2 linked regions of the Arabidopsis thaliana genome follow. The protein of the gene in region 2 interacts with the protein of the main gene of each other region in a pairwise test. Each region holds a gene or a part of one and is shown on either strand. Other genes may lie near its edges.

Evidence for each region. Proteins that work in one complex are often made in the same cells at the same time.
Region 1: the proteins of AT1G76185 (region 2) and AT1G74370 interact in a protein complementation assay, tested with the Arabidopsis thaliana proteins (one large-scale study listed by BioGRID).

What each region holds. Positions count from the first base shown.
Region 1 is NC_003070.9:27,955,422-27,961,137, forward strand, and holds AT1G74370 (RING/U-box superfamily protein), read right to left. Parts: upstream 3,980-5,716; 5' UTR 3,766-3,979; intron 3,610-3,765; 5' UTR 3,565-3,609; coding exon 2,779-3,564; 3' UTR 2,665-2,778; downstream 1-2,664. Other genes in the region: AT1G74360 (Leucine-rich repeat protein kinase family protein), read left to right, coding at 1-2,490; XXT5 (xyloglucan xylosyltransferase 5), read left to right, coding at 4,427-5,716; AT1G74385 (uncharacterized protein), read right to left, coding at 5,304-5,549.
Region 2 is NC_003070.9:28,585,789-28,593,807, reverse strand, and holds AT1G76185 (NADH-ubiquinone oxidoreductase chain), read right to left. Parts: upstream 3,484-8,019; 5' UTR 3,312-3,483; coding exon 3,199-3,311; intron 2,859-3,198; coding exon 2,651-2,858; 3' UTR 2,277-2,650; downstream 1-2,276. Other genes in the region: AT1G76200 (NADH dehydrogenase ubiquinone 1 beta subcomplex subunit), read right to left, coding at 1-34, 351-457; AT1G76190 (SAUR-like auxin-responsive protein family), read right to left, coding at 1,212-1,583; ERD14 (Dehydrin family protein), read left to right, coding at 6,151-6,399, 6,487-6,795; AT1G76170 (2-thiocytidine tRNA biosynthesis protein, TtcA), read left to right, coding at 7,583-7,620, 7,850-7,956.

The sequences.
Region 1 (5,716 bases), 630 kb from region 2:
CTAAATGTACTGAATCTTTGGGGAAACAAGTTCACAGGGAACATTCCAGCTGAGATTGGTTCCATATCCTCTCTCAAAGGTTTGTACTTGGGGAATAATACATTTTCTCGAGACATACCGGAAACTCTCCTGAACTTGACCAACTTGGTGTTTCTGGATTTGAGCAGAAACAAATTTGGAGGAGACATTCAAGAAATCTTTGGGAGATTCACGCAAGTAAAGTATCTAGTCTTGCATGCAAACTCATACGTAGGAGGCATCAATTCTTCCAACATCCTCAAGTTACCCAATCTTTCAAGGCTAGATTTGGGCTACAACAATTTCTCGGGACAGTTACCTACTGAAATTTCTCAGATACAGAGTTTGAAGTTCTTGATTCTTGCTTATAATAACTTCAGTGGCGATATACCACAGGAGTATGGGAACATGCCGGGGCTTCAAGCACTTGATCTCTCCTTTAACAAGCTGACCGGTTCGATACCAGCTTCATTTGGGAAATTGACCTCTCTTTTGTGGCTAATGCTTGCAAACAACTCTCTATCAGGAGAAATCCCTCGAGAGATTGGCAACTGCACAAGCCTTTTGTGGTTTAACGTGGCAAACAACCAGCTCTCTGGTAGATTCCATCCTGAATTGACTAGAATGGGGAGTAATCCTTCTCCAACATTTGAAGTGAATAGGCAAAACAAAGACAAGATAATTGCTGGTTCTGGTGAATGCTTGGCGATGAAGAGATGGATTCCAGCGGAGTTCCCTCCGTTCAACTTTGTATACGCAATTCTAACCAAAAAGAGTTGCAGAAGCCTATGGGACCATGTTCTCAAAGGGTACGGTCTCTTTCCTGTCTGTTCTGCTGGTTCCACGGTACGCACGCTTAAAATTTCAGCCTATCTTCAGCTCAGTGGAAATAAGTTTTCAGGTGAGATTCCTGCAAGCATCTCTCAGATGGACAGGCTGAGCACACTACATTTGGGTTTCAATGAGTTTGAGGGGAAACTGCCTCCAGAGATAGGACAATTGCCTCTTGCATTCCTCAACCTTACTCGAAACAATTTCTCGGGCGAGATTCCTCAAGAAATCGGAAATCTGAAGTGCCTGCAGAATCTTGATCTGTCTTTCAACAATTTCTCTGGAAACTTTCCAACGAGTTTGAATGACTTGAATGAGCTGAGTAAGTTCAACATCTCATATAACCCTTTCATTTCTGGCGCGATACCAACAACAGGACAAGTAGCAACCTTTGACAAAGACTCCTTTCTTGGAAATCCGCTGCTGCGGTTTCCTAGTTTCTTCAACCAATCAGGGAACAACACGAGGAAGATTTCCAACCAAGTCCTAGGAAACAGGCCAAGAACTCTTCTTTTGATTTGGATTTCCTTGGCTCTTGCATTGGCGTTTATTGCATGTTTAGTGGTATCAGGTATTGTACTTATGGTTGTTAAGGCTTCAAGGGAAGCAGAAATCGATCTCTTAGATGGGTCGAAAACCAGACATGACATGACTTCCAGTTCAGGTGGATCATCGCCATGGCTATCAGGAAAAATCAAGGTCATTCGCTTAGACAAATCAACTTTCACATACGCTGACATTCTGAAAGCAACCAGTAACTTCTCTGAGGAGAGAGTGGTAGGTAGGGGAGGCTATGGAACTGTTTACAGAGGCGTATTGCCTGATGGAAGAGAAGTTGCAGTCAAGAAGCTTCAGAGGGAAGGCACAGAAGCAGAGAAAGAGTTCAGAGCTGAAATGGAAGTTCTAAGTGCCAACGCATTTGGAGATTGGGCACATCCGAACCTCGTGAGGCTATATGGATGGTGCCTAGATGGGTCAGAGAAAATCTTGGTGCACGAATACATGGGAGGCGGGAGCTTAGAGGAGCTCATCACAGACAAAACAAAACTTCAATGGAAGAAACGTATTGATATAGCCACAGATGTAGCAAGGGGATTAGTGTTTTTACACCACGAATGCTACCCTTCCATCGTTCACAGAGACGTCAAAGCCAGTAACGTTCTTTTGGATAAACACGGGAATGCGAGAGTGACGGATTTTGGACTAGCAAGACTCTTAAATGTAGGAGATAGCCATGTGAGCACAGTGATTGCAGGCACAATCGGGTATGTAGCTCCCGAGTATGGACAAACTTGGCAAGCCACCACAAGAGGAGATGTTTACAGCTACGGAGTATTGACCATGGAACTCGCGACGGGTAGAAGAGCTGTTGATGGAGGAGAAGAGTGTTTGGTCGAATGGGCAAGACGTGTAATGACAGGTAACATGACAGCCAAAGGTTCACCAATAACCCTGTCAGGGACCAAACCAGGGAACGGAGCTGAGCAAATGACTGAGCTACTAAAGATTGGTGTGAAGTGTACAGCTGATCATCCTCAGGCAAGACCAAACATGAAAGAAGTTCTAGCTATGTTGGTTAAGATATCCGGTAAAGCAGAGCTCTTCAATGGCTTATCTTCACAAGGTTACATAGAAATGTAAAAATCTTTCTTTCTTTTCTTCTTTCAGATTTATTATACAGAACAACAGAGTTTTCTTCTTCACCATTTTTCGTTTCATTGTTTCTGATTCTTCTTGTACACAGAACCTCATTGTTATCAGACAGATAGGGATAGAGAAAGGTAGTTTTGTTCGCAATGTACAGAGACACAATCTGAAAATAAAGATCTTCTCTTCTTCTTGTCTATATTGAGTGTAAACAACGTTGGCTCTATCTCGTGTTTCTTACAAGTCAGGAAACATACAGGAAGAAAGAAACAGTACAATGAGTCAGGTTGCAATCTCTCTGATCAGCCAGTTTAAGCTCGGGAAGGCAAAATAAAGGACGAGAAACGACGGGACAGCCAAAGCAAACGTAACAAAGAAATAAACCCCGAGAACTGCAGCACTCACAGGGATTGCATATAAAGCCATCAACAGGAATATGACTACCAGAGGAAACTTAGCCAACAAATGAGCAACAAGAGCCATTGACTTACGTACCGAGTCATGGAGCCTCCCAGTTCTGAAGAATCCTCTGGTCACACCATTCCACCAGCTGCGATTGTCCAGCAACCCTTCATCACCCAAGGCGGTATTACTCACTCCATCACACCTATTTCTCAAGTCTCTCTGCCCTGAAGCAACCCTTTTGTTGTCGCTGGGTGCCTCCGATCTGGAGCCATTCATGCTTTCTACCATCCACAGAAGGTAAAAGTTCTTGGAAGGAAATCTGATGGTTCCATTGCAAACCAGCCTTAAAGAGAGAATATTGCACCAAGGGCAAGCAACGAAGAAGGGAAGCTGGAATGGTAAAGCAGAGGATTTGATGACAATGGCACGTTGAAGCCCTAAGAGACAGTACTTGCAGATTGTATGACCACACCATAAGACATAAGGTACATTCTCAACAACGTTGAATGATTCCCAGCAAATGGGACACTCCAATTTTTCTTCCTTTGTTGTCTTTCTTCCATCTCCTGATCTATCTAAAGTAGCTCTTCTTGGTTTTGTAGCAGCTTCTTCTCCCTTCGATATAAAACCTTCTCTGATCGATTTTGAAGCTAAATTCCACATAGCAATGGAGGGATCCACAAAGATAATCACTTTGAATCTTTCTCTCTGCAACAAGAAAATCACACACACATACACTACATAATCAGATATGAGATTTACAATCCAACCCCCAAAGATTGGACCGAGAACATACAAAAAGTAACGAACTTGATGAAACCCAAGAAATCATTAACAGAATTACAGAAAACGAAATACACTTACAAGAGTTTATCCGGTCATGAAGATGAAGATCATTGCAAAAACAAAAAATGCAACAGCTACGTCGTTGAGTTATATAATATCTCCGAAGCTCTGATGTAACCAGCGAGAAGAAAACCGGCTGAAAAAGAGACACGCGTCGTAAAACATGGTGACTCTGAAACGCCTTTCAATGTTTCCGCCGCCCCCACCGATTTCCTCACCTTATCCGTTTCTGTTTTCAGGTTTAACTACCAAAACGCATCGTTTCACTATACCGCCAAAATTAAACTACCGGTTTAGTTCCGTAATTTTCTATTACCGAAATCGGTTAAAGTAAAATAGTAGTTGTCGGTGAGAGTGAGCTGTACGCGTTTCTTCTTCTCCTTGTGCGCTTTCTGGATCGAACGAAGCATTTTCCTCCGACAATATATTTTTAAGTAATGACAATGTTTCCGCATTATTGGGTTTAATTCCATTTTTAAATTAGGGTTCTTCAGATCGACAAATCTTTCTCTTTCTCTTTCCCCGATCGGAATCATGCTAAAGATCTGAACTTTTTCTCAGATCCGTGAATAAGTAAGTACGGAGAGACAGAAACATACTCAGACTGATCTGAGGAAAACAAAGTTGATGGTCGCAAACCTGTAAGTGAAATCTATAGAGAGAGACGTTGAAGAAGAAAATGGGTCAAGATGGTTCGCCGGCGCATAAAAGACCATCCGGAAGCGGCGGAGGACTTCCGACGACGACGTTAACCAACGGTGGAGGAAGAGGTGGTCGTGGTGGTTTGTTACCTCGAGGTAGACAGATGCAGAAGACGTTTAACAACATCAAGATCACAATTCTCTGTGGTTTCGTCACAATTCTCGTCTTACGTGGCACTATCGGTGTTGGTAACCTAGGAAGCTCAAGCGCCGATGCAGTTAACCAGAACATCATTGAGGAGACTAACCGGATTCTAGCTGAGATCCGATCTGATTCGGATCCAACCGACTTGGATGAGCCTCAGGAAGGTGATATGAATCCCAATGCGACGTATGTTCTAGGTCCTAAGATCACGGATTGGGATAGTCAACGTAAGGTATGGTTGAATCAGAATCCTGAGTTTCCTAGTACTGTCAATGGCAAAGCTCGAATCTTGCTTTTAACAGGATCTCCTCCTAAGCCTTGTGATAACCCCATTGGTGATCATTATCTTTTGAAATCTGTGAAGAACAAGATTGATTATTGTAGGCTTCATGGAATTGAGATTGTGTATAACATGGCTCATTTGGATAAGGAACTCGCTGGCTATTGGGCAAAATTACCAATGATTAGGAGGTTGATGTTGTCTCATCCAGAAGTTGAGTGGATCTGGTGGATGGATAGTGATGCTTTGTTCACTGATATACTGTTTCAGATCCCTTTGGCTAGGTATCAGAAGCATAATCTAGTGATTCATGGTTATCCGGACTTGTTGTTCGATCAGAAGTCGTGGATTGCTTTGAACACAGGTAGTTTTCTGCTGAGGAATTGTCAGTGGTCGTTGGATTTGTTAGATGCTTGGGCGCCTATGGGACCTAAAGGGCCAATTCGTGATGAGGCCGGGAAGGTATTGACGGCTTATCTGAAAGGTAGACCAGCTTTTGAGGCAGATGATCAGTCAGCATTGATCTATCTCCTGCTTTCTCAGAAAGATACATGGATGGAGAAAGTGTTTGTGGAGAATCAATACTATTTGCACGGGTTTTGGGAAGGTTTGGTTGATAGGTATGAGGAGATGATAGAGAAGTATCACCCGGGATTGGGTGATGAGAGATGGCCATTTGTGACCCATTTCGTTGGGTGTAAACCGTGTGGTAGCTATGCTGATTATGCAGTCGAGAGGTGCTTGAAGAGTATGGAGAGGGCCTTTAATTTTGCAGACAATCAAGTGCTCAAGCTGTATGGTTTTAGCCATAGGGGATTGTTGAGCCCCAAGATTAAGAGGATC
Region 2 (8,019 bases):
ACCATCTTGCTTTGCCCTGTACAGAATCCAGAACCTGAAAATACCAAAAATTGAGTTTTTAAGATGTGAATGCTAGGGAAAGTTAAAACCTATGTGCGATTACTTCTTCAACCATTCTCATCGAACTGAAATTGACATAAGCAATATCTGATTCAAATTAACATCTACCTGATTAGCTCCGATACTAATTTGACAAATCCAATTTTTTGATTCAAATGGATTCTATATACAAAATTCCTCAGATGATCAATTAGCCCAAAATCCCCATGGCGAGATCTAGCTACGATCGAGATTAGCTAGGTCCCAAAATCAAAAGCGAATTAGGTGAAAGAGAGAAATCAGAAATGTACCACATAACGGCGCACAAGCCTTTTCCGGTGACGGTGTGCCAAGTCTTGGGAGTGTGGACAGTGACTCCCTTGTAAGTTATACCTCCGCCATGTCCTCCTCCACCCATTATCTCTCTCTCGAAACCCTAGATTCCCCGATTCGCACTTCAATTTCAGACCGAAAAAGCTTTCTTTCTCCTCAGCTTTGACAATTTACTACCTGAGATTTGATTCAACCATGTGAGTCGTCACTTTTAGTAAGGCCTCAATTAAAAGGCTTAGGCCCAATTTAAAGACCAAAGGCCCATTTCTATATCTGTTTCTTTCACAATGTTTTCTTCCTTTTTGGGCCCTTTAAGAAGTTTGGATACATGAATTGAATGTTTTGTAGATTTTGTAAGAGTTTTTGGTTTTTGTTTTCCAAAAACTTATTTTCATACCAATCAAGATTTTAAAATTTTGGTTTCCCTACAATTTAGAAAAATTATTTTCTTGTAGTTTTCCATTCATGATTTTAGTTTTTTAGTTCTCCTAAAATTTAGGAAATCTAGTTTTTACTCAATCAACGTTATTTTTCTCAAAAACCAAAAACCAATTTTTTGGGGTTTTTGAAACAAAAATATAATAATAAAAATCTGAAACTAAAATCTAAAATCTATAAACTAAAATCTAAATTCAAAAACTGAATCCAAAATCAGCATCCATTCAGGGCCTATAACTTCGTCCCAAATCGTTGTTTTAACCGTCAAAAAAAGACTCAAAATCAAATGATGATACTGTATCATTGATACATTACAATAATTAATTTATTACAAGATCATGTTGGTATACACAAAATAGAACAACCCTTCTCCAAAAAAAGTTAACAATTACTCCAAATGGTTAGGAAACTAATGACTGAAGCTGGCTCTGTCCACGAAAGAGAGAAGAGATTGAAGCTCCCTTGCAGGTGCTGCTCGTGGAAGACTTCTCCACATCATCATAATCATGGGACATGCTCCTTCTCACAAGCATGATGATGTGATCCATTAAACTTCCATCGCAAGGAACTTTTAAAGGACCATCAATGGTAGTCCCAAACTCATCCTCAGCCATTTGCAATAGCACCTGTAACATCGGATGATTCAGATAATCCAATGGTAAAACGAATCTCTTCCCTTCGTTCGTGTACACAGCGAAGTGCCCTTTCTTCCTTCTTCTCCATTTCTCCATCAATTCGGAGAGTCTAATCCCTTTAGAATTTAGTTTCTTCATATGATTTTTGTGTGTGTGTTACTTCGGCTTTGATAGTTTCGTTGCGTATGTATCTGTCTGTATGCAACCTTAATTAAATGCCTAACTGCTTCTCTATATATATAGCAATATATGGACCAAACTGTGGATTTTGATGTGTGTGGAGGGAAAAGGATGTTCGTGCTTATTTGATTGTTTTTAGTTGCTTTTCAAATTTGTCCACAAATTGGATCACGACCACTCGTGGAGTTATGTACTGACCTTCTACAAATATCTAGAGATTTTCGATCTTTCTAATTATTTCCGTTTCAAAACATGAATTACGACTAAATGCAATTATCTTGGTTACTAACACACTTGTTTTTGTCATTGTCATTAATGAACTTTGACAAAGCTATATCACCATGTAGACAGTATCTCATTATTTGGAAATTAAGTTAATCAAATCAAGCTAAGCTAGTGTATTGACAGACCATAACATTACAAATAATACTAACTATTACCACTTTTTCTTTAACAAGATACTAAAGTAGTTGCAGAGCGCAAAGGTAATGATAGAAACATGTGAGCGTTTCGAGCAAGTTGCTTGCTACTTTTCATTTTATAGTTCTCTCTTCTACTTTCATGAGTGTTCGTTGTTTTTCTTTTTCTCGTCACATGAAAATCCTGCAAATCATTTTTTAAAAACTTTTTACAGCCAACAAATCTAAATCACTTCATCATGATATTAAGTGTAACATAGATAGATGGAAAAACTATCTTTAATCACAAAACGCTCAAGTTAACAATCCGTGATCGTGCCTAGGAAAAATAAAGCAACCTCCCATACTACTTTATACAGGAAAACAACCTTTACAGCACTTTTGTTCTGATTTGTCTAAGCTAAGCCTTGAAATTGCAGTCCCTGGTTTCATATCTCAAGTTCAGGTCGATTCTTCAAAGGACAAAAGCGATGCGTCCCAGAGTCAGTCTGAGCTTAGCTGTCATCTTCATCAATGCATATGGGCACAAAACTCATGCCAGAGAAGAGTTGTGGTTTGGTTGTGTGAGAAGATAAACGGTTCGCAACAGCTCAATGGTTTCGGTCTTTACATAGAGAGAGGAAGAAGCATCCTTCGCTTCTTCTTCCTAGCATGTCTCACTTGCTTTGTGATTTTCATACAGAGGAGTAATAGTAAGGTGACACAAAGCAGGATAAAAGCAAGTTGCAACCGCCTGAAGTACAAGGATACAGCTGAAAACACCACGAGTGCTAACATCACTAGTTCCCATATGACAAAGACTACAACATCAACCCTGAATCAAAAGCAAACGAAACGAATAGCATAAGTACCACTATAGAATGTTCATTGTCAAAATTTAACAATAGAATCCAGATTGCAACAGAGTCGATAAGAATGAAAAGTGTATGTCAAATTGTCAAAGATGGTTCAACGTGGACAAGTCAAAATTATAGTTCCTTGTGTAGGATTCACATAGATATCCAATGTTCAACGACAATCCCTTAAAAGATGAGAAATTTACGGTTCCAATTGAATTAAATATCACAAAGTACAATTTTTCAAATACAACTCTAAGCACGCAGCTCCAAATCACAGCAGATTAAAAAGGAAAGGATAAGCCGGAGATCTCTAACCTGGAGGAAGAGAAATTGGAGGTGGAAGAGAAGAAAGAAACGGAGGCCCAATCATGCTTTGATCTAATCTGATATTCCCTGAGCTGTTCTGCTAGATTCGATCTTGTTATCATCGCTTCTTCTCCACCAAGTCCCGATCACAGTCCCGATTCGACGAAGAGCTCAAGAAGCGTTTGAGAATCACGAGATGTAGGAAAAATCTATCACCAACATATAACTAGAATCTAGAAATCCAAAACAATGGAAAAACAAAATCTGTGAATTGGAAAATTTCGCATCAAAATTTTACAGCGACGAAACGGTGTCCGATTCGTTAGGAATTCGGCGAACGTTGCGTGGACTCTCTCGGTGTCAACAACCGGGTCGGGTTATAGATCCGATCTGGATTCTTAAGCCCATTTTATGGGTATTGGGCTTTTACCGTTACTCTTTTGTTTTGAGTTGTCATCATATATGAAAACTTTGTTCCGATGCCATGAAATTTGGGCTTTTAAGAATCATGAAAACTTTGTTCTAACAGAAATAGAAACATCAAAGAAAAAGAAATAAAACAGCGATGCATCGATTGATTCTCATGTCCCACCAAGTAAAGCGAGTGCTAAATATTGTTGAATATTCCTGATTTGACCACAATAAGGAAAATATCACGCCCATAAAACTCAGACGGGCGGTGAAAAAGAAGAAATCGACAGAAGAACAAACGCATGACGTTCATTACTTAGCACTAATCTGAAACTTTCGAATTATAGTATTTGATCCATATGTATTCTACGTTTTTCAGAAAACTTTGTTCAGATATCTCAAACTTTCGAATTAATTAATATTATTTTAAAATCTATAGTTTAGTTGTGAATTCTAAGTGTCGGCTACAATTTGTCGGTTCGCTATCACCGAAAACATTATCCAAAGAATAAGTTAAGAGCTGAGCTTCGGTGTATATGACAACAAGAACCAAAAAGACGAATAAGTTAGTATTGAAAAAGATAGGTTTGTTTGATATGTGTGTTGATACGTCACGGTTCGTGCTACGTCTTTGTTAAATTTAGAGACCAGAGATTACTGATGTGGCACGTCGGTTCATTTTTTTTATTTTAGGCGAATTTTAAGAGATGATGCATTTACCGATTACCATCTGTCCTTCATTAATATTTTTAGTATATCTTTTTCAATAGGTCGAAAATGACATCCCACACATTAACATATTAATTCATAAGAAATCCAAGTCATCTTATGCTCATTTGTCTACTCATGATTTCATTATCTACATCTAAGTTTATCTTTAAAAACTGCATGAAAACATAACCATTTACGTTGAAAAAATACATACACAAACCCTTTTCCCATAAACGAGATTACGAAAGATTGTTTTATGTGCCCCAAAAATGGTAAACAAAAGATGATGCTAACTTTCTATTCGTTCTAAAATCTAAATCTTTAGTTTTAGTTTGTTTATGTCCACGATCATTTCTTTGATAATACTTTTGGCGGATTCACAAGCGCAAATTACCCGTCTTATTGTAGCATTAGGACTAAAAATGAGATCCGGTAGCATTGCAACAACACCTTCCTAATCGATTGAGCCAATCGGACTTATATTACTTGTTGGATTTGTTTTTTTTTTTGTTTAGAGTATCCAAGATCATGTATTTACAATTTCAAAGATCATGCGTTACTAGATTGGCCTCTTCAACATGTTTAGTGAATAATAAGTTAAAATAACACCTAATCGTTGAGGATTCATAGCGTGATAAGAATTAAATAACCAAGTTCTTATTGGTTTGTTTGTATTTTGTAACGCATAGAATAGAAGAAAGAAAAAATAAGGAACGTTATAAATTTCTAAAAAATCATCATTTCTTCTCGAACAAGCTTGTTCCAGCGTGGCACTAGTCAATAAGTCAAGTGGACCCACGTAACCGACATCACGTCTTTTACGCCAATCAGTACATACTATTGGGTCCTACAAAAGGACAACTTCCCATGTTATATTGACACGTTTTAAGATGTAATTGATTAATCTAAATTTCTCTCTGACTCTTTTCTTTGTCTACATCCGACGTTCCATTTCTGACTATGAGCTCCGTCGTCCGATTTGCGCTAATGCTTGACACGTGTCTTCCAATCTATGGTGCATTAAATTGTTAATCCTTTCAAAATCTGTAATCCATTTTTGGAATTTGCAAGATGGTTCCTATATTTGTGAATATATATATATATATAAGAAAGCCCGAAACTTTAAGAACAATAATTTATAGGGACATCCCATTCTTTAAAATCTCTTTTGCGTTGTCAAAAATAAATTATTTTTGCTTTCAGAGGAAATGAAAAAACATTTTTGCTTATTCCATATTATTCTTACTCTATTTAAAGTTTGAATCAGTTTTCTTTAACTTGATAAACCGATCATTGAACTACAAAGTCCACATAACAAGTATTAAAACAAACAAAAAAACTTATGAAAGTCTAATATTTAAATTAAAAACAGTACACGCCTTGAACAAACCATTTAGTTTGTTTTCACTACTTTTGAAAAAAAACTATCTAGTTGCCATTCTTATCCATTATTTTTTATTCCACTAAATTGATATCAGATCACGTAAGCAAACTATTAACAATTAATTAATGAATTCTTCTTAATCCAATATAACTTTATCTAATTAACAGAAAAATGATAATTAACGTGGGGACGAAGGAGAAGATGCCATAAAAAGCGGGTCATTTTGTAATTTCATATAATTAGATATATGTTTTTAAATTGCAAAAAAAAAGTGTACAAAGAGCGTGAAATCCGCGGTGGCTTGGACCCCTCCCGAGTCCTCAACACTATATAACACACTTTCTTCTCTAATCTCCATCACCTCTTATTTTCATCTGCTTTTGAATTTCAAACCTTCACATAAAAAAAATACTTTTGAATCCGTGTTTCATTCATCGAATCTTTTTCCGATAACTATGGCTGAGGAAATCAAGAATGTTCCTGAACAGGAGGTGCCAAAGGTAGCAACAGAGGAATCATCGGCAGAGGTTACAGATCGTGGATTGTTCGATTTCTTGGGAAAGAAGAAAGACGAAACAAAACCAGAGGAGACTCCGATCGCTTCAGAGTTTGAGCAGAAGGTTCATATTTCAGAGCCGGAGCCAGAGGTTAAACACGAAAGTCTTCTTGAAAAGCTTCACCGAAGCGACAGTTCTTCTAGCTCCGTAAGTTTAGATCTGATCTGTTGATGATAAACTATAACATGATCGAATGCTTTTCTTATCTAACTATATGGGTCTGAATTTATACAGTCAAGTGAGGAAGAAGGTTCAGATGGTGAGAAGAGGAAGAAGAAGAAGGAGAAGAAGAAGCCAACTACTGAAGTTGAGGTAAAGGAGGAAGAGAAGAAAGGGTTTATGGAGAAGTTGAAAGAGAAGCTTCCTGGACACAAGAAACCTGAAGACGGTTCAGCCGTCGCTGCGGCACCGGTGGTTGTTCCTCCTCCTGTGGAAGAAGCGCATCCAGTGGAGAAGAAAGGGATTCTTGAGAAGATTAAGGAGAAGCTTCCAGGATACCACCCTAAGACCACCGTAGAGGAGGAGAAGAAAGATAAAGAATAAGAAGATTATCATTAAAGATATTAAGAATAATGATGGTTGATTTGCTTTGTTTTTTTTTTTTTTTATTGTGATGATTGATCATCTTTTGCTTTTGTGATGTGTAAGTTTGTTGGCTTTTTTGTTGATTACAATTTCTTATTTTCTCTTGTATATGGTTTTTAAAAACAAAAGATCTCAAGGTATTTTAATGGTATGAATATTTTCATTTGATTAAGTGATATGGATGATATAATTTTATGTATTGATAATCTTCAACTATTGCTCAAAGCCGTAAACATGACCCCAGTTTGATTAGCATTCAAGTTCGTATGTAGGAAATTAAATGCGTTGGTATAGAAGAAACATGATCGTGTATACTCTTCTTTTTAGTGATTGATTTGGCATTGCGGTCGACACAACTACTCAAAACGTGTAAGAAAATGGACCAACTTAGATATTTTTGTAGACCAGTTGACGTAACGTTTCCCTAATATGCTAGTTATGATAAGATCACATATTCACATGAGATCCAGCTAATCACAAAACATTTCCATTAATGGACCACATCCTTAGTTAATAATGTCTTTAACGCTCATCATTGTGGGTATATCTAATTATCTATAATCTTGTATGTGGGATTTTAATGTTGGGTAAGAAAGCCCAATGGGCCCATTAATAACTAAAACAATTCAGATACCGAAATCAAATACGACGGTGTTCTGTGGATATAACTCCGAGTTAGGTCGTTTTTCCGGTTAGGACAATTTACCGCCGACTAGTAAACTTGGAGTTTCATTCACCGGTGGAGATGGAGGCAGGGGAAGAGAAGAGCAAGAAAGCAGGAGGGTCTCGTCTCTGCTGCATCTGTAACCAGTGACGACCTGTCCTAAAACGACCGAAAACCCTTCAACAGGTAAATTTTGAATTAGGATCAAAATCATCGAGCTGGGTCTTTGGTTGCGTTACTCTTGTGGCATTTTCGGAACTGTTAAAGATCATAGTTTCTCAATCTCCTGCTAGTTAGTTTGTTACGTATAAGCAATAATGATGTGAGTATTTGTATAAAGATATGCAGAGAGTGTTTCTATGAGGTTTTTGAGGAAGAGATTCACCAAGTCATTGTTGGGAATCGTTTGTTTAAGTTCGGTGAACGAGTTGCTATAGGTGCCTCCGGTGGAAAAGGTAATTTCTTTACACTCCAATGATGGTTTCGCTTCAAAGTTCAAATTTTTACGAATCACTCTG